6 separate regions of the Mus musculus genome follow, and regions 2, 3, 4, 5 and 6 are each reported to be linked to region 1. The links are microRNA targets in miRTarBase. Many come from high-throughput screens and were not tested one by one. Region 1 holds a microRNA gene; each other region holds the end of a gene's coding sequence. Distances are from middle to middle.

Region 1 (5,075 bases):
TGGGTTTGACTGGTGTCTGGGTGAACTTTTCACTTAGTACGGATTTCTGCTAAATGTACAAGTGCAAGAAAAAAAATTGTAGAGTCAGAAGAATGAGAGGCACAGTGTGGGACACAATGAAAAACACTCAGATGGGGGCTGGAGAGATGGCTCAGTGGTTAAGAGCACTGGCTGCTCTTCCAGAGGTCCCTCGTTCAATTCCCAGCACCCACATGGTGGCTCACAACCATCTGTCATGGAATCTGATGCCCTCTTCTGGTGTGTCTGAAGACAGCAACCCTGTACTCACATACATAAAATAAATAAATCTTTAAAACAAACAAACAAACAGAAAATCACCTAGATGTATTTCAAGAGAGCGCCAGTCAGTTGAAGAGTGTGGAAGGCAGAATTACTTGAAGTAGGGATGTTTTGTCTTTAAACCCCCAGACCAAAGGGAGGAAGCAAACAGGAGTTAGTTACCAGTGGCAGGTAGGGCTGTTCTAGCTTGCTATCTAGGACTAAGTACTCATTACCCTGAGGTAATGGGACTAAGTACTCATTACCCTGAGGTAATGGAAAGCAGGTTGCTTGTGGTTAGAAAAGAGGGCGCAGATATGAGAGGCGGGGAATGGAAGGCAGTGCTGTGTTTGCTGAAATTGGAAGCACAAAATAATGTGGGCCCCTCCTTTCCTCCACTACACCCCATCACACACATACTCTTGTTTTCACATATACTCTTACCTAGGTAGCCCAGAGTGGCCTCAAATTCCAAATTCCCATGCCTATCTCCTAAGTATCAGAAGTATAAATATATAGCTGTTAACCATTGTACCCTGCTTGAATTCATGATTTCCAACATATGAAGGTGTGTGTGTGTGTGTGTGTGTGTGTGTGTGTGTGTGTGTGTGTGTTTAGTTCTGCTGAGAAACCCAGAAGTAAGCAATCATGGTTCAGTAGCAGTGCACTAGACTGGAGCTCATGTTGATGTCTATAAGTGATTCTCTTTTCTACAAGAATAGCCAGCACTTGCTGGAAAAATGATCAGTCCAGGGCTTGGGGACTGGAGCAGGGGAAGTGTAGCATGCACCTGAGACACGCCACTGTCCCAGACGGTAAGAAAATCTTCCAAGAATGGTACAAGAGGACAAGGAAACCGGTTTGGGGACTATTGGTGCTGGCTGCTGCTGGGGCAGGGACAGTCACTGCCTTCAATTGTGTGTTCACTGGGTGAGTCTACCAACTTCAGCGAATGCTTCTATACCCAGTGGCACGTGAACCACTGTGGTTAGACTCAAGGGGTGCAAAACAAGAAGGCATGAAGGGGCTCGAGGGTTGTGCAGAGGTTAAGAGCACCTGTTATTCTTGTAGAGAACCCACATGGGGCTCACAACCATCCAAACTGCAATTCCAAGCATCCAATGCCCTTTTCTGGCCTCTGCAGGTAGCAGGCACACATGGGGCACATGAGTACATTCAGGCAAAACATGTAATATTAAAAAAGAGAGAGAGAGAGACATGAACATGTCAGAGGGACTGGAGGGGAAGATGAGAAGACAGGGAGAATAATCAGAATGCACTGTGTATATATCAAATTGTCAAAGAATAAATTAATAAAAAAACAGTTTGAGGAACTTCCTCTGGGTAAATCCAAGAATTTTTACAATAGTGGTGGTGATGATGATAATAATAATAAGAGGCTATTAATGCACTAAATAAACCAGGACTCCAAATGTCCTGTAAGTAGACAGAGCAGCACAGACAACTGGAGGGGCAGCTCTCCCTACCATAGGACACAGCAAAGCAATGGAGAAGGAATGATGGAGTGAGGAGGCTGAGATTGAAGGCTTCAAAGACAGGACATTCACCTATTTTGATACATTTGATAGATTTATCAACCATAAAGGAAAACATAATGCCCACAGTGGAGAGTTTGGGACACATCACCTTAAACATGAGATCAAGGTTATAAATAAATAAATAAATAAATAAATCTGCCAGGCAGCCGGGCTGTGGTGGCGCTCGCCTTTAATCCCAGCACTTGGGAGGTAGAGGCAGGCAGATCTCTGTGAGTTCGAGGCCAGCCTGCTCAACAGAATGAGTTCTAGGGCAGCCAGGAACACACAGAGAAACCCTGTCTCAAGAAGGTAAAAAGTAAAAAAAAAAAAAAAAAGAAAAAGTAAAAAAGAAGAAGAAAAAAGAAAAGAGAGAGAGAACAGTCTACATTCTGAGGGGAAGCTGTAGTAGCTACACAGTATTGAACACCACACACAAGGCTTATACACACGACACAGTCAAGCCTGCATTATTTGTAGAAATTTAAAATGTCAAGCTAAAAACTTGTTTCTATTCATGAGCACAATGTTAATTTCTTGCCATTTAATGAAGATGCCCTCTTGAGATGGACAGACGGCAGGACAGTCTAAAGCACTGGCCTTGATTGGGTGCACAAGCCTGACTGAGCTCAGTTTGATCCCCAGCACCCACTCGAGTACAAGGGTGTGCCACGGTAACCCAGTGCTCTCAGAAAGAGATGGAGAGTGGAGACGGAGAATCAGCAGAGCTTGCGGACCACCTAGGCCAGAGCACTACTCAGTGAGAAGCAACAGAAGAGACTCCATCCCCCAAAAAAGGTGCAGAGAGAAAACAGACTCCTAAAAGCTGTCCCCTGACCTCCACATGCCTGAAGGACACCTCCCATATCTCTGTGTGTGTGTTTTACAGAAAAAGGAAGGAAGGAAGGAAGGAAGGAAGGAAAAAATATAAAGGTTTTTGTCTTTTTGCCCATGGTCACTTGAATCATGAGACAAAATAAAATTTTCTTCCCTTAAATTGCTTTTTGTGGAGCCTTTGGTTACAATAACTATCCAATTCCAACCACAGGAGGAAAAAAAAATGTGTGAAGATTCGAGTGTATTTCATCAATCAAACAACACAGAACAAACTGAGCACATAGTGTGTCGGGTGCCAGCAGAAAGAATAGAAACGCACATTGAAGAGTAAGCCTGCCGGGCGGTGTTGGCACATGCCTTTAATCCCAGCACTCGGGAGGCAGAGGCAGGCAGATTTCTGAGTTCGAGGCCAGCCTGGTCTGCAGAGTGAGTTCCAGGACAGCCAGGGCTACACAGAGAAACCCTGTCTCGGAAAACCAAAAAAAAAAAAAAAAAAAAGAGTAAGCCTGCTGGAGCAATTTTTTATCTCTTTATTAACCTAAATAATGGGTTATTAGAACTAAAAGCATTAAAGTGCCAACTAGAGATGAAAAGTAATTGTTCTCTCTGGAGAAACATTTAGCCTTAGAAGCAGAAAACAGCAAAAGACAATGGGGTGTATAATTCTGGGGTGACCAGACCTGCCTCTGCCTCCCAAGTGCTGAGATTAAAGGCATGCGCCACCACTGCCCTGCAGACCCAGCCCTTTTGTGAGTAAGTTCAGAGCTACAGATCAGACAAGCTAGAACATTAATCATAACTGCTGATCCAGAAGTGATGTGATGTCTGGGGTTTATATCAAACAATAGAAGTAAGCAGTAGCTTGTAGATGAAGGAAGACAGTTCAGGGGTCCAGAGTACACACTGGCTTTCCAGTCCAGTGGTGTGCAGCACAGTGTGTAGAGCCCTTCCCAGAGCCCAGAGCTTGGATTCCACCTCCTCAGAGAACTAGGTGGTGGGTGATACACGCCTGTAACCCCAGCACTTAGCAGGCTCAGGCAGGAGGCAGGGTCAGCGTCTGGGTTACACAGTAAATTCCCACACCATCCTGGGCCTGAGCTATAGAGTAAGAAGAAAAGGGGGAAAAAATCCACGATTTAAAAAAGTTAAAACGCAAAACCACTCTGGGAATGGTGAACATTGTATCTGAGATTACACATCTCTTTAGGATTTTACTAAAAACAAGATGAGAGAGGTGGCTAGAGAAAGGCTCAGCAGCTAGTTGTCATGGGGTGCAGTTCTAGAGATAGATTCCCAGCACCCACATGGTGGTTTACAACTTCTATAACTTCAGTGCCAGGGGAGGGCACACACACATATAAAAGACAATAGTAAATGTTTTAATTAAAAAAAAAAAAAAAAAAGGTTTTGGGCTGGAGAGGTAGCTCAGTGGTTGTGATTGAAATGTTCTTGCAAATCATCGGAGTCAGTTCCCTGCACCTTTGTTGGGAGGCTCTTGATGGCCATGTCCATGGAAACCTTGTGTGTATATAGGTGTTATACACCTATACACACTTATACACAAACCTATGTGTTCATGTATAGGTGTGTGCACAAAACCTTTTGTGCATACATCTATACATAAACACATAGACACATAATTAAAAACAGTGTATTTAGCTCACTCAGTCAAAGTGTTTGCCTCCCAGGCAGGAAGGTCCTGGACTTAATTTCTAGTTTTACACTAAAAAAAAGATGTAGGCATGGTAAGGCAGGTTTGGAGCCCTGACTCCTAGGAGGTAGAAGCAAGAGAAGCAGAAGTTCGAGGACATTGTCAGCTACCTAGAGAGTTCCCGACCAGCCTGGGATACATGAAAACCTGTCTATAAACAAACAAACAAACGAGTGAACATACAAACAAATAAATAGATGGAAAGGATTTCTTGAGGACCAGTACATATGTATGTTATATACTCTTTAAATATGCTAGAGAGCTTTCAAAATGAGAGTGGAATGTACCAATCTTTCTATATCAAGTATAGTAAAAAAAAAAAAAAAGTAATATAGATGTCAGAGTTTTGTTTGTTTTTGTTTTTCGAGACAGGATTTCTCTGTGTAGCCCTGGCTGTCCTGGAACTCACTCTGTAGACCAGGCTGGCCTCGAACTCAGAAATCTGCCTGCCTCTGCCTCCCAAGTGCTGGGACTAAAGGCGTGCGCCACCACGCTCGGCTCAGAGTTTTAACATCAAGTTTGCTACAGCTGAGGTGTGGCTCAGTGGTCAGTGCTTGCCTAGTAATAGGGAAGTCCTAGGTTCAACCCCCATCACTGCAATCAACAAATAAATGTAAAAATAAAATTTATTCATGTCGCTTGCAAGGGAATAAGCATTCCTGTCACTGAAGAAAATATGAAGGGATTGCCTTGGCTTCTGCAGGACACCCTGT
Region 2 (5,075 bases), 47 Mb from region 1:
ACCAAGCTTCATTGTAAGAGCATGGTTTCTCATTAGCTAGAATCAAAATGTGTTGCAGTGATAAGGGTCAAAGGTCTTTGTGGCTTCTAGTTTTTGGTTCCAGTTGGAATTTAATGTTTTGGGGGAGATATGACCACAGGAGAATATCACTGGGCAGTGATGGCACACGCCTTTGATCCCAGCACTCAGGAGGTAAAGGCAGGGTTCAAGGCCAGCCTAGTCTACAGAGTTCCAGGACTGCCAGGGCTAAACAAAGACACCCTGTCTTAAAGTAAAAGAAAGGGAGAGAATCTCAAATTAGCTCTGTCTATCCATGTTCCATGTGCATCCATGTTACACACACATCCATGTTACATGCACACATCCCAACTGTGTGTGTAGCAGTTGGCTCAAGAGGGCAATGTGCTCTGCCCAGCTAGATATATCCTTCGGTTGTGGGTCTGCATCTTAGTGTGTTCTCCAGTACCTTGAAGAGATTATTTGTGTTTGGGAGAGTGTATGCATGTGTATTTGCATGTGACTGGTATACCTTTGTGTACATGTGTGCATGTAGAGGCCCAAATTTGACATTAAATGTCTTCCCTGGTCACCCTTCACTTTATTTGTCAAAGCAAGGTCTCTCAATTAAAGCCAGAGCTCACGGACTCAGCTAGTCTCAGCAGCCAGCTTGCTATGAAATTCCCTGTCTCTGCCTCTGAAGTAAATGGATGACAGGCAGCTCCCACACTCCATACCTGATGCTGGGGACTCTAACCTCCAATTCTCTCTCTTGTGCATCTAGTGCTTTATTCATTTGGGTCATCGCTCAGCTTCCTTTCATGAATTCTAGGAAGCAAAGTCAACTTCTTCAGCTTGTCAGGAAAGCATTTTACCAATTTAGCCTTCTCCTCAGGCCTTCATCAAAACGTTTTTTTAAAAGATTTATTTATTATTATATGTAAGTACACTGTAACTGTCTTCAGATGCACCAGAAGAGGGCGTCAGATCTCATTATGGATGGTTGTGAGCCACCATGTGGTTGCTGGGATTTGAACTCAAGGGCTCTTAACCGCTGAGCCATCTCTCCAGCCCCTCATCAAAACTTTTACAGCAGTCTGGTCAATAGATACATCCTAGGATCTATGACTGAGGCTATAACTTCACCTCTCCTCAGGGACTCAGATTCTTTCAGCAGGTACCAGGCCTCAGCGGCTCTCCATGACCCTCAGTCCTGTAACCCTCCATCCTTTAGCAACAGCACAGGTGGATAAAACTCTTTTGAATTTACAAGTCCCAGCTCCCTGGGATACAGCTTTGCCCACCAGACAACCACAGCTCTGGCGCACTGACCCCAAGGAAACAGAAGAGAAGCAGAGTGACTGGAGAGATCAGGAAAAGAATCAGGGTGAAGATACAGGGAGCCTGAGGACAGAGTCTAAGCAAGTGCACATAGCCTGAGTAAGGGGGCAAAGTAAACTCTAGAATGTTCTTTGAAAGAGGCGAGGACTTGAGGCTTCAGGGCTCCAAGACAGTCTCTTTGCTGTTGTCCAGAACTAACCAGTTTTCTTGGAGCAAAATAACTTTTCCAGGAGGCTGGAAACTACTGACCTCACAACACTCCTCTCTTACCTTTTAAGACTCCTGTAACCTCATAACAGCTGGGTCCCCCATTTCTTTTAAAACCAACCCCTCACCCCCTTCTCATCCAAGCCTGCAGCTTCTCCTGCGGTGCACAGTGACTGACATCTTATTCCAGCTGCCCCAGATCCATCACGCTCACAAGAAATAAAGGCTTTCTCTGACCACCCTTTTAAAACGATTGACTCTTTATGTACATGAGTGTTTCGCTTGCAAATGTACCACACACCTACAGAGGTCAGAAAAGGGCATCAGATCCCCTGGGACTGGAGTTATGGCCATTCCGATGCTGGGAAACAAAACAGAATCCTCTGCAAGTCTAGAGAGCACTTCTCCAGCCACTCCAATCCCGTTTCGTTCTCTTCCTGAGTCAGGCTTAGTTCCCAGCTCCCCACCCCTCCCCCACATTATGGTAAAAAGCAAATGTGTGAGTTAAAGTGAATTAATTTGATGAAGTTGTGAAGATAAAGAACACTTTAGATCCCATTGTGGTGGCACAGACCTTTAATCCCAGCACTCCAGAGGCAGAGGCCAGATTATCTCTGTATGAGACCATCCTGGTCTTCAACAAAACACTGAAGGCGAAAAATAATAGAGTTTGTAATTGGATATGAAACAGAAAAGCTGACGGACTCAGAAGCATGCAGCTCTACAGAAAAGCCAGTAACTATGGTCTCAGTCTAAGGCTCTGATCCGAACCGATGAGGGCTGAGGGACTCACACACCTTTCGCACACTCTCCTAACTCCGTAACAGACTCAGTGGTGGGTAAAATGGCTTCTCAGAAATCCTTGAGGTTCCAGCAGAGACCATCCAGTAGCCAAGGAACTAGAGAGGTGAGGACAGCTGCATCTTGGTGGCTGTCCCCTGGTTGTCAGAGTACCCCTGGCACCTGTGCTTCCTTGAAGCTGCAGTTACATTGTCTCCACAATACAAGAAACTAAACCACAAGGACATTCAGCCTACATACCTTCAATATATATAATATTGACCATTCAATATATGCTGAATACATATTTCAATATTATATTTTGATATATATATAATATTGAAATATCATATATGTCACAAAAGTTCCTAATGCTTTTTCATTCCTTCCCTTTTGTGGACCTAACAATGAAAGATCTGGTCCACCATAGTTTGAGATGAAAATAAGGGCGCATTGCCCAATAAATATTCCACCTACCTCATATTCATAAAACCCCTCATTGGAAGCGGTCCGTTAGGCCTCCCCCCACCCACCCACCCACACACCTTGGGGTAGTCAGTCTTCCGTTAGGCCTCTCCCCCACCTTGGGGAGCCTACTTAACCTCTCTTCAGAGTGCTTTGCTATCTTGTTCTTTTTTTTTTAAGGATGTATTTAGTTTATGTATATGAGACTGTAGCTCTGTCTTCAGACACATTAAAGAGGGCATTGGATCCCATTACAGATGGTTGTGAGCCACCAAGTGGTTGCCGGGAATTGAACTCTGAACCTCTGGAAGAGCAGCCAGTACCCTTAACCACTGAGCCATCTCTCCATCCTAAACTTGGTTCTTTTGCCTTACTAAGTAAACTACTCAAGCTGTCTATGCATTCATTCCTAAATATAGATTCTTGGCCCCCTCCCCAGAATGCGGATTCAGGGCAAGGGAAAATGATCTTTATTCTTGAATACCCATGAGATGCTGGATAGTGGCGGTGCACATCTTTAATCCCAGCACTCAGTAGGAAGAGGCCCCATATCTCTGAGTTCGAGGCCAGCCTGGTCTACAGTGTGAGTTTCAGGACAGCCAGGGCTATACAGAGAAACCCTGTCTTGGGAAAAAAAAAAAATCCCATGAGGTTCTGCACAGAAGCAATGATCTAGGTCCTGAATCTATGAGGAAGTTGGTTTGAAGGAAGCTACCTCAGGTTTTTTTTTCACTGCTCACTGTGTCTCATTGGGCACCCTGGGGGGGGGGGGGCTAGGACAGCAATCAGTGACAAAGACAGGAATCATAAGATCCCTTCCAAATGAATGGGGCAATCCTGAGTTCAGGGTGATGACCCTAGGCTGTGTTCTGGGATGAGGGTGACGTAAAAGGAGATAAGCAGGGCCAAACATGGAGAAATTCCATCCACATCAACACTGTTGTCAGCCAAGACTTGACGCACACCCTAGAGGAGGTGGCAGTGCTTGGCCTAAGTCCCTACCCTGTGGCAGTGATTATGAAGGGACATGGAGGGAGTAGATCATGGTAAGAAGATTCAGGAACATTCAGAGGCTAAAGGAGATGCTGGGGTTCAATGTCCTGGTCCTGTTTAACGCATCTAGTCAGAGTACAGTCACCATCCCACTGTGATCAGTAGGACTAGTTGAGAATTAGAGGAGTGGGGATTCCCAGAAAGCCAGTTAGCTCAGCAGAAGGCAGCACATAACCTGGGTGTTAGTGTCACCTTGGTTTGGAGGAGCAATTCTGGTTTGAGGAGCTGCAATTCTGCTGGGTTTCTAGTTCTAGTAGCTACAGCAGGCACGCCCCTCTTGGCGATGGAGAGGGTGCACACCACCCCCTGGCGGCCACCCTCACTATGGCCACGGCTCCCTGCACCCTAACAGAAAGCAGACTCAGTAACACTGGAGGCGTCCCCGGGCTTCTACTAGGAATCTCTCAGCTCTGTGCACGTGGGATGAGGGACGCGGAGCACAGATGGTGAGGCCCCGCTGCGGGAGACTCCGTCTTCCTTTTATATAGGAAGTCCACAAGGAAGGACCAGGTTTCAGTAAGAAAAGACCTCTCCAGCCACTAGGGGTAGGAGAGGCAGCAGGAGGGGCGACAGCTGCTCTGAGGCTTGATTGAGCTCGCAGTGACAATCACAGCTTCGGGTTTTGGATGTCGTTTTCGGGGGACTGGTGACTCGAGGGTCAGAGTTGGGGGCAGGGCAGTCCAGCCACTTGGGCCCAATGGGCTGGGGGGAATCTGACTCAGCTTTGACACTGCCCTCCGCAAAGCGCCAGAAATGGGTGCCCTTGAAAAAGTAAGTGTCACCTGTAGGGGAGGAGACGCCTCAGAGTCTTGGTCTAGACTTGCCCCAAAGCCAATGTTCCTTTTTTCATTCCAACTCCCAGGATGCCCACCCCACCCCACCCCATCTGCCCTCCCCTCGTCTCCATCTTTTCTCTCCCAGGGATCACAATTTGCAAATGACTCTCCACACCTGTGTTGCTGATGGTGACATCGTCTGGGGCAAAGGGCGCCCCATCCCAGAGACTCAAGGCACGTGGGTAGCCAGGGTCTGGGCGGGCGGCCACCTCGTCATACCGCCAGTACTTTTGACCTCGGATCAGGTATGTCTTGCCATTGTGAGGCCATGAGAACACAGCATCCACGTCTTCTCCTGGGGGCAGCCCAAACTCTACCAGTGGCCGCGCTGCACCCTCAAGCTGTCGTTCCTGGAACACCCAGAACTGCGGGCCTGGAAGAAGGCATGTTGGTAAG
Region 3 (5,075 bases), not on the chromosome of region 1:
ACTCCCAATGAAAGATTTCACTCTCATATTTACCTATTTTCCAATCCAATGAATCCAATTGATATTAATGATATGTGCATATGTGGGGCATCATTGCCAAGATTCAGACAACCTACCTACCATTTTCATACCCACAAAAAAAAAAATGAGTCTCCCTCTCCAGCATTCATCAGCTGCCAAGAACCTCTTAACTCCATGAAGTATACTATTTTATTTTTAATTTTTGAGAATTTCAATATGAGTACCATATTTGCATCATTCCCCCACAACTCTTCTTCTGCTTCTCCACTTCCTCTCAAATTCAAGACATTTTCTTCTTTATATTATGTTACTTGTACACGTACACACACACACACACACACACACGTGTGTGTGTGTGTGTGTGTGTGTGTGTGTGTGCACATGTATAGAAGCAACTTAATCTATTTACTGATGCTCATACTACATGTCACGTATAAGTTTAAGTGTGATCACTTTAGATTTAGTAACACATAAGGATGGCTCATCCCTGAAGAAAACTGATTTTCTCTATTGCTGTAGCCACTGATTGCTTGTAGCAATGTCATCTAGGGATGAATCCTTGTGAGATTTCCATATTTACACTGACATGTGTACTGATGTTATCACTATGCAGGTCTTGTTTAAGATTACTGAGAGTTTTTGACATTGTTGAGATTGTGTGGGTGCAGCCTCCCTGGCATGTCTAGAAGACTCTATCTAGGTGCAGACATCTGGTCTTCTGGATATTACCATCTTTCTTCTCCATTGTTCTTAATGTTCCCTGAATCTTAAGTGTTTTTCCTAAACAGAAAACCACTACATGTCTTATCATAAATACTCCACCTATTTAATTAGGCACAGTATAATACAGAAGCTAAAATAGGAAGACTTATAGTTTGATTTAAAGACTTAGAAATATAGACTTAGAAAATTAATATAAAGATTTAGAAGAAAGAGAGACTAGTGAAGCATAGAGGATATTGCTGTCTCCTTTGCTTGCCCCTCGGATGTAGAAATTAAGTACCTATTGCTGATGACACCATGTATTCCAAACACAGGGTCCAAAGACATCTGAGCTGGAGTTGATTTAAGTGCCTTCCCATTCATGTACCAGAACATACCATGCAAGCTTCTAAAGGAAGGAAGTGATTAGTAGTCATGTACAGTTATGATGCCTACAAATATCATCAAATGCTATCAAGGCATAATAATCCTAAGGCTGCACAGATACCTCACATAACTCTGTAGTAATCAACAGATCTCCAATTAGACTTAACATGTAATCAAAAGGGGAAATCATATGTGACATGGGAAGCCTAGCTATTTATTCAGGGCTGGTGAAGTTATGAATTTTTGGAGGGAAATCTACAACCATTGCTGTATTCATTAACATAATTCCTAAGTTCATTCTATATATTTGTCCTTATACCCACATCTAAGTGTAGTCCTCACCTCTCATTGTGAAAAGTTCTCTTTGTAACAAAGACAACGAAAACTAAGGAAAATCAGAAAAAAATGTAGATGTATGGAGCCCAGTTAAAAGGAATACATGTATAAATGACTCCCACACCTGATATTCAGAAAACATTGAGGAGTAGGAAAGCAGAAAGACTGTAGAAGACCAGAAAATAAGGGAGAGCATGTATCCTAGTAACATATCTTTGTCCATCATTTCATTTTAATCTGGCATGGCTTTATTTAAAAATAGGCATCTAGTAGCAACATTGTTATGTCTTTATATTTGCTTCACAATATTCAAGCTAGAGGAACAAGTCAGATAAGGAACAATGAAGGAATCAATTGTGAAACTGCGGGAGTCACAAACAGAACATGATTACTCTACTGTTAAGAACCCGGGTATCAGGTTATTTATTACATGTTGAAAATTTAATATATGTCATGCTGCATTATGGAAGCAAATGTAAAGAGAAATATATGACATCATTTCATTTGGAAGTAGAATGTACTTTAAAGTGTTAGTATCTATATAATGACTATATATGACTATATATAAGGAAATAATGCACTTCTTATCAAATCTTTCTTAGAAGGTGAAAAACATAGTTTTAAAAACATTAACAGCCAGGCATGGTGGTGCACACCTTTAATCCCAGCACTCGGGATGCAGAGGCAGGTGGATCTCTGAGTTCGAGGCCAGCCTGGTCTAAAAAGTGAGTTCCAGGACAGTCAGGGCTATACAGAGAAACTCTGTCTCGAAAAACGAAAAAAGGAATTAAAATATTAAGTAAAAGAAAGTTTCATAATTATTTTTCTGTTGCTGTGATAACAAAGTCTACTCATACAAAATATTTCATAAGATATGTCATAATTCTCATGGGGTGGAATACATGACCCTCATAGCCAGAAGCCTGAGAAGAGGCAGACAGGTTGGCATGGCAATGGAGCAGTTGCCAGAAGCTTATATCTGACTCTCAAGCTTGAGGCAGATAAAGGGCTGATGTGGAATAGTACTGGCTTTTGAAACCTCAAAGATTACCCCTACTGAGATATATTCCAAAAAGGACACACATTTTAATCCATCCCAAACAGTTCCACCAATCTGGGGCCAAGAATTCCAAAATGAGACTGTAGAGGAAATTTTTCAGGTACACCACCACATTCCAGTTCTTGGACCATGTAAATTTGTAGCTATATCACAGTAGAAAACACACTAAATCCAACTTGAAAAGTTCTCATAGTCTTTCACAGTACAAACACAGTTTAAAAGTCAAAAGTCTCTTATGATACTCAAGGCAATCTCTTAATTGTAACTCCTTGTCAAATAAAAAAAGCACAGTACTTGTTTCCCACATACACAGGCACAGATCGTACATTACCATCCATTCCAAAAGAGGAATGGAGACATGGTGAGGAAATACTGGGCCAAGCAAAAGGAGAAAATGAATATTTACATAACCTGCTGTATATGTTAGTTTGTTCAACTATAACAACCATTTAGCTACATGTATATCAAACATCATGCTACAATCTTTAATTTGCACTGTAAATTTTAGTTTGCAACAAAAATATGGACAGCATATTTACCTCTGACAAAAAATTTTGACTGGAGGAGAAATAAAAATTAAGAAATATAAGAGAGTGTTTTGTGTCTTGATTAGGTTTTATACCTATATTAACTTAAAATCCTGATTTTTTTTACATTAATCTGTTGATATTCTATCCTCTTAATTGAATTTATCACACACTGCAGCTTTAAAATTGAAATACTGTTTTATAGAAAACTTTACTTAACATTACATAATTAAGTTTTTAGATGCTACTCGCTCGTGAAATGGTATAAATTTAAAACAAGTTTGATATCAAGGGAACCTGTTATAGAGGACCTGATTGGAAAAATATCATGAGGAAAGAGTCAGAGAGAAGGAGAATCATGACAAAGTCAACACTCAACCATGGGAAGCTAAGTAGGACACTGTGAAAGGAAGAAAAGAGGACAGACACTCTCAACCTTTTCATGAGCATGGATATTGATGGATCACATTATTAGACTGAGCACACTCTTCCAATGCTGAAAATGGAATAGATAGTGAACTTGAAGGTGAGGAATCCACTGGGAGAATAGTGATTTAACAGACTTCTCTTGAGAATGTTTACATCTTTACTAAGAAATTTATATAAGAAAGATGATCATACATTTATTAAAACCTACAGAAATTAGTAAGTTCTGTGATTATTACTTATCTATTTAGCCCTTCATTATTGGAAAAAGTTTGTTTTAAAACAGAATTTTTTTTGCAAAGTATAACAAGGATTTAACCACTATCAAATTAAGTGAGCAAAGAAATATAACTTTTCATTGCACTTTCTTGAGTTTTCTTCTGAAGAGGGATTTGTCAATTGTGGTCAACACCTCTCCTGGACCCCATAGAGCTTATAAGGAGTCCCATCAAATGGAGTTGGTAAAGCTCTGAGCAAGATAGCTGCAAAAATACTGTACTCAGTATTTATAACAAGTTCAATATCAATCAACTTCTACAACATTGACTACTTCCCCAACTGAGTTAACCTTGGGTCATCAACTAAACAACATTATGAAAATGCCACAAAGTGATAAAAACATAGTTCTCTTCAAAGCTATTTATGCCTGATCAAAGCAGCTCTCAGTCCCTTCCAGACAGTTTTTATTTCTCTAGGTCTTCTTGAGGAACCCATCTCTCCACATTCTTCCTCCTCAGGAGAGTCTTGCATGGCTCTCTGCAGAAGAAGCTTGAGAGTCTTCCGTTGAAACCGATGGTGCCTAATGGAGCCAACAAGGAAGTAAATGATGGGGTTGGCACAGCTGTTAATACAGGACAGAAATATTGTCACGTTACGAAAACCACAAGGTTTATTATCATGAAATTCCCTAATCCACTCTAAGAGGAACCAGTAGATCCCATAGGGCAGACCAAAGATCAGGAAGACAAGCACTGTAAACACAATGGTCACATACAACCTGGTCACAGGAACCTTGTGTAAGCCACAGAAGATGGTAAGCACCAAGGCCAGACTGGATCCCAAGAGAACCACAAATAAAACAATTAACCATGCAGTAGTGATTAAATCAAATGTCTTACACAAACCAGGGCCACTAGTGTAATATAGGAAGCCACATTCCTTTCCTTCCAGGAGGCTCAACACCAGGGACAAGACCCAAAGCACAGTACATATGACAGCTGATGTGTGCCTTGGGCGTTGGCAGCGGTACCAGATGGGCCACATGACAGATAGGAAGCGTTCAGTGCTAATGACAGTGAGGATGCTCAGACCACTAAGGTAAGCAATGTTTAACACCATAGTGTAAGATGAAAAAAAATTAGTGGGGATGAAGTAGATGTCTAAGATAATATAAAAACAATGTACAATTTGAAAGCACATGAAGACAAAGTCAGCACCAGCAAGGTTGAGGATGTAGACAGAGAAGGCATTCCTGCTCATCTGGAAGCCCAGAAACCATAACACTGTGGCATTTCCAACCAGCCCAACTAAGGCAATGATGAGGGAAAGAAAAGTCATGGTACGAGACACAACTTCACAAAATGATATTCCATTGTCATTGCTTTCTTTCAGTGCTG
Region 4 (5,075 bases), not on the chromosome of region 1:
GCTTTGAGCTCAGATGCTTGTGGGTTTATAGTGTGCACTTCTGAGTCCCAGTGGCTGCCGGGAGGTGCTGGTAATGGAAGAGGGAGCACGGATGGGGCAGAAGATGAACACAGCGAGAGTGGGTGGGAAGCCTACATCTTTCCAAGTAAAAAGCATTTTAACTCAAAGTAGAGGTCAGAAGAACAAAGAGTTATCCTTGTAAAAATTATTTACATTGATACAAATCATTTAAAAACAAAAAACAAAAACTGGAAGCCATAATCTTACAAACCCAGAAAGTGCCTTCTCTGCCTCTGCTGTCCCCTGATCACATGAGTGGACAGGTCACATTATCCTATTTGCAAGGTAGTGGGAATATTTATGTCCCGGGCTTGCTTCAAATGCCAAGAAAGGAAAACAGGTATAAATTTACATCCCTAAATCATCTTTCCTGCTGAAGCAGTGACTTACCTCAGGCTCTGGGCTCTGGTGCTGGGCTGGCACCCTGGGAGGTCAGAAGTTCTGTTGACTGGAAGACTGTGGATTGTGAACGCCACGCGGCTCATCTTGCGTTTTTCCTTTTGGGTACCGTAGAGCTCTCTTCCTGTGCCAGCGTGCTGGAGCTGACCCGCACCAAACAGGGGCCCTTCACACTTGCACAGCACGCCCTCCCCGAAGACAGGTGGACCATCGATGACATCGAACAGTCCCTCGAGCGCTGCACGTCTCTTCTGCCGGAGGAGCTGACATTTAAAAAACTAAAATCTGACAACTCCAGTGACCAGGTTATAAGCTGTGGATATATAACTCTCAGGGACACAAAGAGAGAAGATGACGCAGTTAAGACACTGTGAGGCCGGCCTGGGAGGATCATTTCCTGGTTGGTGTCTGTCCCGACCAGGAATGCCCATACACCTCTTGAGTTCTTTGCAAGATGTCTTAATGTCTCTGAATGATGGATCTGATTGGATTCAGATAAATAAGTTTTCTGAATTTGATCTTCCCTTAGTCTTTTTCCTATGAAAAAGTTAAACAATATTCTAATGACAGAATCCTGAAGTCTGAGCTGCAGGTTCCACTGGTCTCACAGAAGTGTCAAACTTGCTTTGCTTAGACTCGGGGAGGGGGCGTTCGTTGTTTTGAAATTCTCTGAATACATTTGAAGTGTTCAGTGTCGAGCTGTCCTGTGTGTTTGCAGAGCCTATGGCTGCTGGAAGGTGCTGGTGGGCTGTACTCAGCTGTGACTGTGTTTCTTAAATCCCGGGAATCAATACGTTGTCCTAATACATATCTGTAAATGCACAAACTCCTGCTTTGGCCACTGACAGAATGTAAATAGCGTGAGACGTGATTCATTTCAGATCCTGTATTCAGCAGAGCTCAGCTCCTGTAGCCGTGGACTGTGGCAGCTATTTCTGTGGTCAACCACATGGTATCAAAGTACCAAAAATGTGATTTTCTAGAATATAAACTAAAGAATGTATCTTGAATTAAAATGCTCTCCTGCCTGTTCGTTAGCGCCTCTCTGTGACTGCGGAACCCTGGTCCAGTGACATGGTTTCTGTAGTTATGAAGAATATGATCACATTTTCAAACAGCAGATTTTATGAGTGCTTCATTGTTTTGTTATAGTAATATCTATTCTTTTATTGTGTGTTTTGAGTTCTTGAAGACAAGGAAACTGAGGACACTGGAGAGGCGAAGACACACTGCCTGTCCAGCAGGCACGGAGTGTAGATTCTGCACCCACCCACAGCAGGCGGCTCTCGCTACTTCAGCTCCAAGGGACCCAGCACCCACTTGTGGCCTGTGGGCCCCTGTGAACGAACACCCATGCCTCCACACACATACATAAAATAATTACTTTAAGATATCGAGATTTAACGCAGGATGGCCCCACTCATTATGTAGCCAAGACTCCTCCTGTATCTACCTCCCAAGTGTAGAGGTTAGAGGCATAGGCCACTGACTCCTGCAGGAATGTGGAAAGGTATTGTACAGCTGTGGCAATAGTCAAGGCTTCCCTCATTTACTAACGTATATTTTCAAAAAGAAGATTTATTAAACATTCCGTAAAGTACAAGTTTTTATATTTTTCATACCTTTCCTCTTAGAGGTTGTTGCCTCTAAAATATTTTAAATAAGCAGACTGACGGTTTTATTGTGGTTAATGTAATGCAAACCTAATATAAACAGTTGGGTGCTTCAACAGGGCATTCTCAGCAGACTGGCAACGTGTTTTAATAAAAACGTTAATGTTAACTCAGGGCAGGTAACCTGGCTCAGCTGGTGACACCAGGACCAATGACTTGAGCTTTGACCCCTGGGCAACCTTTGTGAGAACCTCTACCCCAGCAAGTTGTCCACAAACACTCTGCAGTGCGCGTACACCGTGCCCATCCCCCACACATAAAAAACCAAAAGAATGAAATGTTTTTAAATTTAAAAACGAATTCTTAGTATGAGACTGAAAAATACAAGTGTTGTATTATGGTAAATTGATGAATTGGAAGTTACACAGCTTTGAGCCTGATGTCACGGTGAAGCTTTAATCCCAGCACTCAGGAGGCGTGGCCATGTGGAGTTCTGTGAGTTCCAGGTCAGCCAGGACTACACAGGACTTCGGAGTGGGACCCTGTATGTTTATATTTTTATATATTCCTATCTAATGTCCTGTAATTCGTGTAACCAAAGGTGATGTTAGATCCTGCTGCCCGTTAGAACGGACTAGGCTGTACATGGTATGTCTTCATCATGAACAGCTCAAGCCTGAATAGACCATACAGCCTAGAGGTTTCTTTTTTCTTTTTTCTTTTACTGGATATTTTATTTATTTACATTTCAAATGTTATCCCCTTCCCCGGTTTCCCCTCCAGAAACCCCCAATCCCACCATCCCTCCCCCTGCTTCTATGAGGGTGTTCCCCCACCCACCCACCCACTCCCATATCCCTGCCCTGGCATTCTGGGGCATCGAGCCTTCACAGGACCAAGGGCCTCTCCTCCCATTGATGCCCTACAAGGCTGTCCTCTGCTACATATGCGGCTGCAGCCATGGGTCAATCTATACTCTTCTCATAGTGAAGAGTAAAATTTATGAAAAAGCAAGCAAGTTCAAGAAATGGCAGTCAGTCTTTTCCTTTTGTTTGGAAATGCTGGAGAAATTATGCAGGTTTTAAAAATGCCCATAATGTTCACCATCTTAATGCACTCATTTTGGATTTTATTTTTATATTGCATTTTCCTCTTTATTTACATAATTCAGGCTCCTCTGCTCTTACTGATTCTTGAGACGATTTTATCTGGGCACATTTAGTCTTCACGAATATATCTGTTATATCTCTGTACTCAGTTCATTTAAACTACTTTCCCGGGGCTACACACATAAGCAGCCTTTTTTTTTTTCTAGGACACATTCTTGTAATGTGGTTATTTTAGGGGAAGCAATAAGAGCTTGTGATCCCCTGGGCTGTAACATATAGTACCACCATTGTTTGGGATTTTATACATTGTTGCTAAAGTTTCCCTGCTTTTGTGTGACCTACCTTCACACCCTGTTCATTTGTCTAAATAAATGTTTCTTTGTATGTAACACGAGTTCTTTGCAGTAAGCTCTTAGCAGAAGTGGTTTTCCTGGCCTGTCTCAGTTTCTTCTCCAGGTCCTGTGATGAAATACCCTGACAAACGGGACCTAAAGGGGAGTGCTTCCTCTGGCTGCAGCTGAGGATCCCAGAGCGGGCGGTCCAGACAGCTGGTCTCATAAATCTGCAGCCGGGAACAGCAAGCAGCCAATGGTACTGCTCGGCAGGTTTTCTCCATCTAACGCGGCCCAGAGCCCCTGCCTAGGGAGTGGCCCTGCACATTGCTAACACAGACATCCCTCTTCAATTAGCCTGTCAGGATCATCCTCCCAGGCGTGCCCAGGGTTATCTCCCAGGGCACTCAAGAGCCAGCTGGGCTGGCAGCACCAACCTGTGTCTTGCTTTGTAAACATATTAGGTTTTGCTGACTCTTAGGTTTCACTACCGTCAGATGTGTAAATATGAGTAATTAAAATTTATTACGATTTTTAAATATTCTTAACTTTCATGGGTAGCTGAAACCAAGACCCAAGGTCTGAACTAGTTCAACATTCATCCTCTTTAAAATTTAATCAGAACATCAGAAAAATATATGTGACTTATATATTTCAGGCATTGAGATACTTGGCATGATTAAAGTCATTTTACTTATGGGCAAAAAAAGTAAGTTAGAATTTTCTTCAGATATCCCAGCACGGAACATACCAAATCACCTCACTGTGATTATTTAACTCTTAGGTTTCTGAGAAATGTTGGTCTCATGTGAATGTTTAAAATAGTCACAGAATTATCTTCTGACCTTAAAATCTACAAGGATTAAAATAATAGGAATTTATTCAAAGCTGTGATTGGTGAACAAGAGACAAATTAACGTTTTCCTGAGCTCGCTGGGTCTTTCGCTCTTCACTACATGAATTAACTCGAGGTTGCTGACTCATGGAGAACCACCCGCCTCAGAAATGCTGGTACAGTTTGTGCCCCTCCGACCAGTCTGAAATCAAACTTAGAACGAACATTTTGAGTTTCCATTAGAGGGTGAGCCGTTCTGTTTCAGAGGAAAAAGGTAATTTAAATTGTATCATGCTCTGGATAATGCAGAAATGTAATTCAAGAGCACTGTCAAGCACAGATGCATTTATTAAGTCAGACAAAGATAACAGCATGCAGTTTGGGCACTGAAATTATAGTAATAGCCTTAAATTTTAAATAGAAGGACCGTCTTAAAATGTTTTGTTCTCAAGGTGCTGTGTGAGCGGCTGTAGCTTGCCCTGGTCAGCTTTTAAATACAGATGTTAAACAGAGATTCCATGGCCCTCAAATCATAATGTCTTCATTTATCATCAAGTAAATTAAGTTCTACAATAAGACATTTTTAGGATGATATTAAAAATGCTGAGGCCAGTCAGAAAGTTGTTAGGAATTGTTTTCGAATTCATTTCTCCATTTCTGTTTCATTTCTTAGAAAACAACCGATTCTTTTTGATTATCATTAATCAGCTCTTTGATTGGCGGCACT
Region 5 (5,075 bases), not on the chromosome of region 1:
TAGGTAGCACTGGGAATCAAACTAAAGGCTTCGTGCATAGTACACAAACACAGTACATATGTATACACACACACACACACACACACACACCACATTTGCACCTTTTGCTAAGATAGGATTTCACCACATAGTGCCAGCCAACCTCAAACTCAAACTCACGGTCCCTCTACACTGCTTTCTAACTTCAGGTATTACAGACCTGAGCTACCACATTCCATCCCCACCCCCCTATTTTTCATTCACTAAATTCAGTTCTAGTTGAAGATAATAATACCTACTTTTGGGGAGACCTATAATGATTAAGTACCCATATGTAAATTCAGTCTAGTATGAGACATAACTAAATTTTGTAATGTTTTAGTAGAACTTCAAATGCTCTCCATCCCTAAATTGCTGAGAGTGGCTTTCGTGGGAGTGCTGGTATTCAGTGGGAGATGGTGCTGGTAGCAGAAGAGCAGTGGCTGCTGGAACTCCCAGCACTGAGGAGCCTCCTCGTACGGAGTCCCCTCCTGGGTCCTGTGCCCCACGGTGCCCTTCCTCTAGAGCTTCTTACGGCCTGCGTGTTCACTGCTTCTCTTTCCACAGGTTTACCCAGAACCTCTCCGTCTTCAGAAGAGATGTGGCAGAGGCCCTGCGTAGCGATGGCCACACTGACCTAAGCAGCCTGGACATGATGAGCTGACCCAGCTCCTGAGCGTGGGCTGTGCAGCCTTTGTCAAGAGAATCTGGAAGGTCTGGGTTCCAGACTACGATGCTGGCCAGCCCAGAAGAGTGTATTTTTCAGAACAAGCAGCTAAAGCCCTACATTTTTATAAGTCTGAGCTAATTATAAAAATTTATAATAGTGCACATACAATGTAAATTCAGTATTCAAAGCAGCACATGTTTCAAGTCTATCTGGATTCCCACAATGCTAAAGGGTCTAGAAACTGTATTCAACCAAAGAACATAGTAAACCAGGCTAGTGCCTGTGACCACGGCTGTGGATTTGGTGAAGATGCAGCCCTCACTTCAGTGTGGGTTCTGGGTCGAGACAGATGCCATCTGAACCTGTTGAATTCAATCTTTACATCTGGAAAATGCAATATTAGGGACTCGGGGCTGTGGGCATTGACAAGGAGCTTGGGAGGAAGCACCATAAAGCCTCCCCCAGAACTGCACACAGGCCTTTCTGCCTCAGCAATATCTGATAAAGTTCAGAGACAGTAACACAATTAGATGACTAACAAACAATGTTTGCTTTCCACTGGCATAAATCTAAAGTGGTTCAGTCTAGAAGAATTAGCTCTGCAATTGCTGCCTGCAGAGAGATGTGTTTAGGACTCTGGAAGCCTAGTTAGAAGTTCTAGGTGCACAAGCTCCATTTAACTTGAAGGAAAGCTGAGGGTGGCAAGTTGTATCTGGAAGCAGCTCTGCCTTCTGACCACCCAGCAGAGTTCAGCTGCCACCTTCTGCCCTCCGCCCTCCCTCCGCCTTCCACACGCTTAACCACTGTTGGATGTGACTTCATCCAAACATAGGAAATGAAGGCCTTTACAGCTTGTGACCCATCAAACCTAAGCTATTAATTTGGAATTGCCACTGTCAGGCGGGTTTCCTATCTCACTGCACTGACTTTGGCGTTCAGGCTTACAATAAACACTGCGGCCATAATGTCTGATCAGACCTGAAAGGCTGACCTCACTGTTGCAGGGGAAAATCCACAGGCTCTTGCTGTAATCTCATTTCTCAGACTAGTGTTTCTTCAAACCTTTCTTGATGGTTGAGTTTTGCAACAAGCTTGTCGTATGAAAGCCAGCCACCTAAGTTCATGCCCAAGTGTCTGTCTTCCGTGTGCAAAGGGAGCGTGGGAAACGGGGGGTCTGGATGAGAGTGCCTGTGGTGTTGAGCAGGCAGGTGAGCCTGAACCGTACTCCTCCCACTCCGCTAGGGAAGAGGACTCTCCTAGAGAGACAAATCCTGTACTTAGAAACATCAGCTTTCAAGGAGCTTGACAAGAATTCCTCTTTGGTTTTTGTTTAGTTTTTCACTTGTTTAGTTTTGGTTGTCTGAGCCTCCCTACGTAGCCCAGGCTGGCCTGGAACTCACTGTGACATTTCCACAGCCTCCTCAGTGAAGGTTGATAGGCATCGGCCACAATGCCTGGCTTGTGTGCTTGTGGGCAGGGTGGTTGTAGCTGCCCTCTTCCCACAGCACTGCACATGCTTCCCCGCTCCAGCACCGTCTCTCACAGATGCCTCTAGTCAACAGCACTGCATCGTTTGCATTAAAGTGTTCACAAGAAAAGAACGCTGTGGGCTCCCTTCTCTTTGCCCTGTGACCAGAGATCACTGGGAGCTTAACAGGAGGTGGAGAGTCCCTTTCAGACTTGGTCTTGGGAAGCATTTTGAGAAGCAGGGTCAGCCAGTCTCCTCATGCCTCTGTGAGCTTGACTGCTTGACTTACAGAGTGTTCTGTAGGGGCCAGCTTAGGAGAGAGGACAGTCAGCGAGCATGGAGCCCCTACTCTTACCCACACTTCCCTCACACTGCAGCATCAGGAAGGGCGGGCCAGAGATGGTGCATAGCTTCACCCAGCTCTGTCCCGAGGGAACTGTGCCTCCTCCATGGAAGTGGTGCTGATATTTAGGTCTGTTCTACCTGTTTTTCAGAGCTTGGTCATTAACAGTAAATGACTCCAGAATTTTAGCCTGGAGATATAGGTGAGAGGTAGAGAGCGCTTCCATACTGTACGGAATGCCTGGGTGAGGAAGGCCGAGGCTCACAAGCTAATGGTTGTGTTTAGGGGTAGGCTCGGCACAGGGCTCACCAAGGATCGTGGCTCACCACACAGGTCTTACTTAGCTTGTGGAAAAGAGCCAGAGACTTTAGAGATCTGAGGGTAGGCTTCGCCCCCACCTACCCCTACCCCACCCCCACCCCCACCCCTGGCTCTAAAGGGCCTCCATCCGCTGCTGGGAGAACACTAGTCCTGCCCCACACACTGGGAAGGAGCCCACGATGACAGACTGAATACAGGGATATTGGCAGCAGTATCCTTTAAAGTGGTCTGCCACAGCCTACCTGGCCTTGGCTACATAGGTTTCTCCCTTGAACTATCAATTTTTCTAATCTGTGATGATCCCCCCTCCTCAGAGAGAAAACAGAAGTGGGGGCCAAGTGTCCAAGGATCACCTTCATGGCATCACAGACATAAACCCAGGTTGGGACTCCCAAGCCCACCAAAGCTTTGAAGGCGCATGGGGACAGAGACCCCAGAGGTTTAATGCAGGAGTGGCCTCTGGAGACATTCTATCCCAGTATTAAAACCGACATGTTAGGATACCCAGCAAACCAGAGGGCACAAGGAAACAGCAAGTGCCACTATTCATGTGATCAGATAGCAGGTGTATCTGTCTGCCTTAGTTCAGCAATAAGGAAAAATAGTGCTGACAGTGCCACAGGGACCACCACTTGGTAAAGGCATCAGTGGAATAGGGGTATGGGGTGCCTTTGCACGCCACAGCCCTCTAGAAAGATTCTAGTGTACAAACATGCATGCAGTATGCGCTCTATGTCAAGCCAGCTACAGAGTCAATGCTCAAGCAAGAAGTGGTCTGTGGATATACTGACTGAGATGTGTCTCACTTTTCAGTGCCCTTCCATCAACATGTAAGGGCAGGGCACCAGGGAGCACATGGTCCCTGCACTGTGTGTCATGATCTGAACAGCCCAGAAAAACCCTCTTGGTTCCCTGGACTCCCTCCCACTGGCATGGCAGTCTACACATACCTTGGGATTGTGGTCATGGGGACCCCTTCCAAAATGCAAAGCTGGGCTGGCTTATAGCTGAAAACTTAGATGAGTGACCAGATTATCTCAGTGCAGCTGAGCATCAGAATAGGGCAGGCTGGTAAGAGAAACTGAAGGGCAAATGACCTGTCATATTACCCTATTCAGATGTAGTAGCCAGCCTGGCACTTTGGAGGGAGGCGCATTTGAGGGCCATGAATGAGGAAAGGAGCCTCTGGAGAGAGAGAGAGACAGGACTTGGGGTATGGCTCTGGTGGAGCATTTACAGGGCCCTATGTTCCATGCTAGCACCACGGTGAACAGGAACAGTGAGTCGGAAACAATTGCAAGAGAACTGGATTCACCTGCTAGGCCTTGCTTCTCGGTAAGAATGCCAAGTATTGTTTTCCTTGTTTTAGAGATGAGAAAACAAACAAGTAGACTGAGAAAAGGCTGCATAGCTAGACCCTCCCATACTTAGTCCAAGAGTAGAAATAAGAGGTGATGGGGAATGGCGTTTGTGGTCCACACAGTCTAGGCACATCCTAGTTCTAGCCCTTCTCCGAAAGCATGCTGTGGGTCAAGGACCTCTCTTCCCTAAGGCAATAACCCTTGAAGCCTCAGGCCTTTAGACAGCCTGGAGCCATTTTCTCCTCTGTGCCAGAAGTCAAGAGAGTTTCCTAACTACACACCTACTTTGTTTTTCTGTTTAATCCCAAACTGGGTCCTCTGTAGCTGTCACTGATGAGGTAGACAGGGGGCCCTTCAGGCCCCTCAACCGTTAGGACTAAATACTTAGACAGAAAAGCCAGTCTACCCAGAGACTTTGAGCTGAGTCTGTGAGCTCTGCCATGATTCATCCTCCTGCTGTACTTCATAAAATCGTTCTTGAGACTTTTTAATGTTTTATTGAGGTGCAAGTTTATGAGGAAGCGAGCCTTTCCAACTACAGCAAGAGTAACCTACCTCCTTGGCATATTAAAAAATAATGTTAGTGTTGGGTTTTACGTCCCACAGTTTGGACTGCTGATAAGAGCGCTTCCCTTGACAAGATTCTTTTTGAGGTTTACAGAAAGCGTAATAAAATATGTAAGTTACATCTCCACAAACAAAAGCTATAACATAAGTTATTTATAAGCGTGAGATAGAAACAGTATCATGATAAATAAGCCATAAAGGGTGCCTGCAACATCCATCTTAATGTAATTTGCCCAACAAAAGGGTTGAAACGAAGTCAAGTTCAGCAGAGAAAATTTGTCAGGAAGAGGGAGGAAAGCTGTACAACACAAGATGGGGAAACGGCCG
Region 6 (5,075 bases), not on the chromosome of region 1:
AATTCTATTTATATAGTAAAGAGAATAAAACAGGGCCCAATCTTGGGCCAGGACAGAGAGGCCAGACCACAGGAGTCTCAGGCTGTGCCCCTTAGGGGCTCTGCTGTGCCTGCAGATGGCCTGCACACCCTCTACAGAGAGGCCTGGGTTTTTGTGCAAAAACAAAATTTCACCCTCCACCTCTCCCCACCCCAGATGAAGGACTCTGTACTTTTGCTTTATTCTCTGGCCTCTGGTTCAATATCAGTTAAAGCCCCTGAGTGCTTCCTATTACCTCCCCCCCTACACACACAAAATAAAATAAATTCATTATGAGTTTTTGTTTAATTAGATGCTGTTAGGCTACTTACATATAAACAAATGCAAAACTTAAAGAGAAGAAAATATAAGAACTGAACACAGGAACTAAGAAAAACAGTTTGAAACGTAAGAAAAGCTTACAAAATTCTCACTCTTGGAAAACAAAGCAAAAAGATGACCATGAAAGAAGAAAATTAGGATCAATGCAGTCCTCTCAGTAGCGACCATCTGTCAGACAGAGCTTAACTGGAGCCCCAGAGAGAGAATAACAGCCAGCCCTGAGGAGGAATGCCCGTTACCCCCACCTCAGAGTAACAACTGGGACAGAGCACAGAAGACATGGGAGCTTCGCCTACAGGAAAACTGTTCCCAGCTTGTTTTACCACCCAGACTGTCACAACAGTGTCCAGACAAGCAGTGATATAAAGACTTGGGTGGTATCTTGTCAGGGTTCTCTAGAGTCACAGAACTTATGGAATGTCTCTATATATTATGGGAATTTATTGGAATGACTCAGGCTGCAATCCAACTAACCAACAATGGGCAGCTGTGAATGGGAAGTCCAAGAGTCTAGTAGTTGCTCAGTCCCATGAGGCTGGGTGTTTCAGCTGGTCTTTTGTATAAGCTGGAATCCTGAAGAACTAGGCTCCAACAGATGTGCTGGCAGGTAAGTGCAAGCAGGCAAAGAAGCAGCAAGCCTTCCTTCTTCCATTGTCCTTATTTATGGAGGCCTCCAGCAGAAAGTATGGCTGAGATTAAAGGTGTGCACCACCACGCCTGGACCTAATTTGTTCTGTTCCAGGCTGGCTTGAACTTAAGAGATCTGCTAGCCTCTGTCTCCTGGGATGAAAGGCAGGAGTCACCTTCCCTGGGCCTGAGCTTCTCACGGTCACTGTGCTCCAAGGTCCAGATCAAAGCCCGTGCCTTCCAGCCTCCAGCTCTGGAGCACAGGGTGCTCCAATTCTGGACTGTAGCTCAGGCCAGGTACAGTCAACGTGACAGCCAGGAATAACCATCACAGGTGGGTTTTAGAGTGATCTTACCCTGGGTACGTTTTACCCAATGAGGGCGGAAGAAGAAAGAAGACATGGGACCCAGGAATCAGGGGATCTAACAGGAGAAGGAATTCTCTTCTAGGGGAGTCTGCACAGAAGCAAGTTAGAAAGGAAGTGTCCCGCCCGAGAAATGAACTGAGATAGGATGGGGGGATTTTCCATGGTATATTAGAAAACTTAGCAATGAAAGAAAGAAAAGTCAAACCAAGTGCCAATTCCATGAAAACATCTAAAAGTTCAAAAATGGTTATAGTTAATTCTCACTTTACTAAGACTTTCACGAATCAATATAAACAGCAATGTAAACAGTGGGCACTGACTACCTAAAGCATGGAGAGCAGGGGAGGGGTCTCAAGAGCACCAAACGCTTATCTGCTGCAACAGGGATCAACAGGTAATGTCTAAGGACTCTTGCCAAGGACCCAGCACCCATACTGGGCAGCTCACAACCACCTGTAACTCCAGCTCCTGGGGAATCCAAGGCCCTTTTCTGGTTTCTTTGGGCACCTGTATCCACCCACACACATAATTTTAAAAGAATCTCTTTATATATATATATATATATATATATTTTTTTTTTTTTAAAATAGTTAATGGCTGGGTGGTGGTGGCGCACGCCTTTAATCCCAGCACTTGGGAGGCAGAGGCAGGCAGATTTCTGAGTTCGAGGCCAGCCTGGTCTACAGTTGAGTTCCAGGACAGCCAGGGCTACACAGAGAAACTCTGTCTCGAAAAACCAAAAAATAAAATAAAATAGTTAATGAAGATGGCTGTTGTACAGGAATGGTCCTGTGGAATGGGAAGAGGGCATTTTACTTTAAATAGTCTATTCCAGGTCATTACATAGGTGTGTGTTTTAAAATAAGTATTATGTTAAAAAAAGATAGACTCTTCTCATCCTTAAGGTTCAGTTTCCTAGAACTCTGACTTCCGTGAGTACTGGACACTCTGCACCGTTTATGCTTCATGTTCTTTTATGTGCATAAGGTGCATGGCATACATTTCTTACTAGGCAAGCATAGTATGACACTGTGTTTTATGGTAGGACCTGGTCATATGTCTCACCCCTTGTATCATCATGAGTAGCTATGAAGAGTGCACACATCAAATATTTTTGTTCTGATTTCACAGCATGACTTGGGTGAAAGGGACTGGGATGTCATGATCCAACCTGGCCCCATGAGAGCACAGCCCCGCTCACATGACACAGTGACAAGGGCTCAACAACTTGGACAGGCCTTCCTGTTTACTGTGCAGGATAGGCTGGGGTTTGTGACTCACAGCAACATTCCCTGCCCTCTCCCATCTTCAGTTAGACCTCCAGCGTGGTCCAGCTGTGCCTCACTGGATGATGCACAAAGAACCCTTTGCTCTCCTTGCTCAGGTAGTACTGTCTTGAGGGGGATGGGCAATATGAGAACGAGGATGTTTCTTTGGTCCAGACCCACTGTCTCTTAGCCTGGGCCCTGAAGTACCCTTTGAAAGGGTCACCCTGGTCCCCGAGTGGGCGCAGAGGCTGTTACTGGGCAGTGGTGGTCAGCTTAGGTTTTGTGGACAAAGCTGTGCAGTTGAGTCTCGCCTTCTTGGAGCAATGCTTCCCTTTCTCCTGAGGAGCTGCCAAGCTCTAATGGTGCCAGAGCTGACAACGGCTTAGAGTTAATCCAGGCAAGTCTCTTGTACTGGAGAGGAGGTGGAAGCTTGCAAGCCTAAGCTGGGTGCCACACACCAGGCTGAACCTGATCAGACTGGGGAAAATGTTGCTCTCCATGGAGCAGGGCTCCTGCTTCTCAAGTGATTCAGAACAGCCTCTGAGGAGGGCCAGGGGCCCTGACCCTTGAGATCTAAGCACATCTACCTTCAGTCTTCGGCTTTATGCCACACCCCTGGTGTGCACCTTTTCCGTGAGCTCAGGCATCTTCTGGCCACTGCACAGTGAACATTCCACCCTCAGGACCATCTCGGGCTCCTGGACCTAAGTGCACTCTGACAGGCTCTTGTCGGCATCTGCCTCTTGGGTCACTTCCCAGGTCCCAGGTCCAGACCTCTCCCAGTGCCACCAGCCCCAGCTCCGCTATCTAGCTCCGCATTCCATTTCAGAACAGTGCCTCTGGCCATGAGCACCCATGTCGGGAGCAGCTGCTGGCTGTGTGGCTCTAGCTCCTCACACGGACCCCGTCTACTTCTGGCACCAGCTCCTCTGGCAATCTCTGTGGCTCGTCTAGGACCTGGGGACAGAGCCCCATGACTCCTGGGCTTCAGGGTAGAAAGTGGAGCCCCTCTTCAGTTGAGAAAGCTTAGCACATGTGCCTATAAACCAAGCTGGCAGCACCCACACCCCTGCAACTTCAAAGGACAGCAGAGGATCAGTACCAGCCGACATCTAAGCCCTCGATCAACTGTGCTCTTGATCTGAAAGAGGTGAGTGGAAGGAAGGACGGACGGACTGAGGCTATGCTCGCCCTGACCACCTCACATCTCTTCCTGGGACCTGGGGAGTAGCAGGCAGCCGGAACTGAGGGACAGGGCTTGAGTGGGTTCCGAGGAGGAGGAGCTGATTCCGAGCACCCCGTGTCTTGTTGCTCAGGTCACTGGCAGAGGTGGGGAGCAAGGGACTGTGTCAGAGAAGAACAGGGAGCTGCTGTCTCACTACATTGCTACCGGGGGAAGTAGTCTGGCAATACTGGAAGTCACTGAATCCGAAAGGCTCCATTTTGTTTGTGGAGACTTGAATGCTGGCGCAGGGCTCAGGCAGCTGCCAGACCCTCACTCACAGGCATGTTGATGTGGGCACTCAGCAGGGGAGCACTCTGGCCTTCCCGAAGCACTAGCACCTAGGGAGGGAAAGACAAGGCAGAGGGGGCAACTTGACCTCCCCTCTTCACTAGCAGCAAATCTGTCTGCTGGCTCAAGTGACAGGCTCCCGGCTTACCTGCCAAAGGAATGGCAAGGCTGGGGGTCTCTGCTGTGCTAACACCCTATCACAGCCCTGGGTCCCATAGTCTTCTCCAGCCTCATCCTACTGCTTCCCCAGGGTCCCACTTGCCTCTGAAGTAGCCACCTACCTTGATCATGTCTGAGATGCCCTTGCTACTGAGACTCTCCACAAAGGTTTCCAGTGGGTAACTGAGTCCTGGTACCAGCAAGGGAACCTATTTGGGGAACAGAAATAGATTAGCCCTCAAAGCCCACACACCTAGGCAGCATCTGACAGATTACAAAGCAGTTATGGCTGTCCTCTCAGGATGCTTCAGCCTGGGCAAGCATGACCAGCCAGCTCCAGGGAACAAGGTGCAGGGAGGGGAAGAGCATGCCTCGGGCCCACGTGTCTGTGGTTAAGCCCAGACTCCTCTCTGTTCCAGAGTTTTGATTATTGTTTCTCCCAACTTGAGGACCCCTGGGCCCTGGGGGAACCGGGTCCTTTGCTTCTGTCGTGATTGGGGCAGAGAGTGGCTCCTTTTCTTCAGCAGGAACAGCTGGGAAGCAGCCTGCCCTCTCCAATCAGGGGTGCAGAGGAAAAACTCACACAGCTATTTTCCAGCCCATCCTGTGTGGCTTCCTGGGGTCTCTCTGGCTGGGAGAAAGGTGGTGGAGGCAGGAGCTGAGTCTGGTCTCTGTCTTGTGTTGGTCTACTGGTCATTCCCTTACTCTTACTGCAACTTACTATGGGCACTTTATTAGCTCCAGCCCTGCCTGTTGGAGCCCACGTCAGCGTGAAGATCT

Evidence for each region. The annotated mature microRNA mmu-miR-1195 reads UGAGUUCGAGGCCAGCCUGCUCA and lies in region 1 at 2,049-2,071, shown strand. An mRNA with a match to its seed (bases 2 to 7 or 8) in the 3' UTR can be bound and repressed. Matches are read on the target gene's strand: a 7mer-m8 pairs with bases 2 to 8, a 7mer-A1 pairs with bases 2 to 7 and ends in A, and an 8mer does both.
Region 2: miRTarBase lists Mmp25 as a target of mmu-miR-1195. Seed matches in the 3' UTR shown: 7mer-A1 at 3,629-3,635 and 8mer at 3,346-3,353.
Region 3: miRTarBase lists Mrgprb1 as a target of mmu-miR-1195. Seed matches in the 3' UTR shown: 7mer-A1 at 2,173-2,179 and 8mer at 2,144-2,151.
Region 4: miRTarBase lists Trub1 as a target of mmu-miR-1195. The part of its 3' UTR that is shown has no 7-base or 8-base seed match.
Region 5: the mRNA of Ranbp17 is a reported target of mmu-miR-1195. Seed matches in the 3' UTR shown: 7mer-A1 at 2,081-2,087.
Region 6: the mRNA of Bbs1 is a reported target of mmu-miR-1195. Seed matches in the 3' UTR shown: 7mer-A1 at 2,043-2,049 and 8mer at 2,015-2,022.

What each region holds. Positions count from the first base shown.
Region 1 is chr17:70,857,554-70,862,628 of GRCm38, reverse strand. It overlaps Mir1195 (microRNA 1195), which reads left to right and starts at 2,029; the gene lies at 2,029-2,126.
Region 2 is chr17:23,626,212-23,631,286 of GRCm38, forward strand. It overlaps Mmp25 (matrix metallopeptidase 25), which reads right to left. Exons shown (of 10, transcript NM_001033339.4): 9 at 4,795-5,052; 10 at 2,958-4,625. The coding sequence ends at 4,357. Among named protein-coding and RNA genes, the nearest start is that of Mmp25, 17 kb to the right of the region's middle.
Region 3 is chr7:48,443,015-48,448,089 of GRCm38, forward strand. It overlaps Mrgprb1 (MAS-related GPR, member B1), which reads right to left. Exons shown (of 2, transcript NM_205810.4): 2 at 1,099-5,075. The coding sequence ends at 4,096. Among named protein-coding and RNA genes, the nearest start is that of Mrgprb1, 11 kb to the right of the region's middle.
Region 4 is chr19:57,487,436-57,492,510 of GRCm38, forward strand. It overlaps Trub1 (TruB pseudouridine (psi) synthase family member 1), which reads left to right. Exons shown (of 8, transcript NM_028115.3): 8 at 574-3,570. The coding sequence ends at 833. Among named protein-coding and RNA genes, the nearest start is that of 6720468P15Rik, 19 kb to the right of the region's middle.
Region 5 is chr11:33,209,009-33,214,083 of GRCm38, reverse strand. Ranbp17 (RAN binding protein 17) reads left to right here. Exons shown (of 28, transcript NM_023146.3): 28 at 586-2,290. The coding sequence ends at 682. Among named protein-coding and RNA genes, the nearest start is that of Tlx3, 8.0 kb to the right of the region's middle.
Region 6 is chr19:4,886,573-4,891,647 of GRCm38, forward strand. Bbs1 (Bardet-Biedl syndrome 1 (human)) reads right to left here. Exons shown (of 17, transcript NM_001033128.3): 16 at 4,418-4,504; 17 at 310-4,186. The coding sequence ends at 4,100. Among named protein-coding and RNA genes, the nearest start is that of Zdhhc24, 10 kb to the left of the region's middle.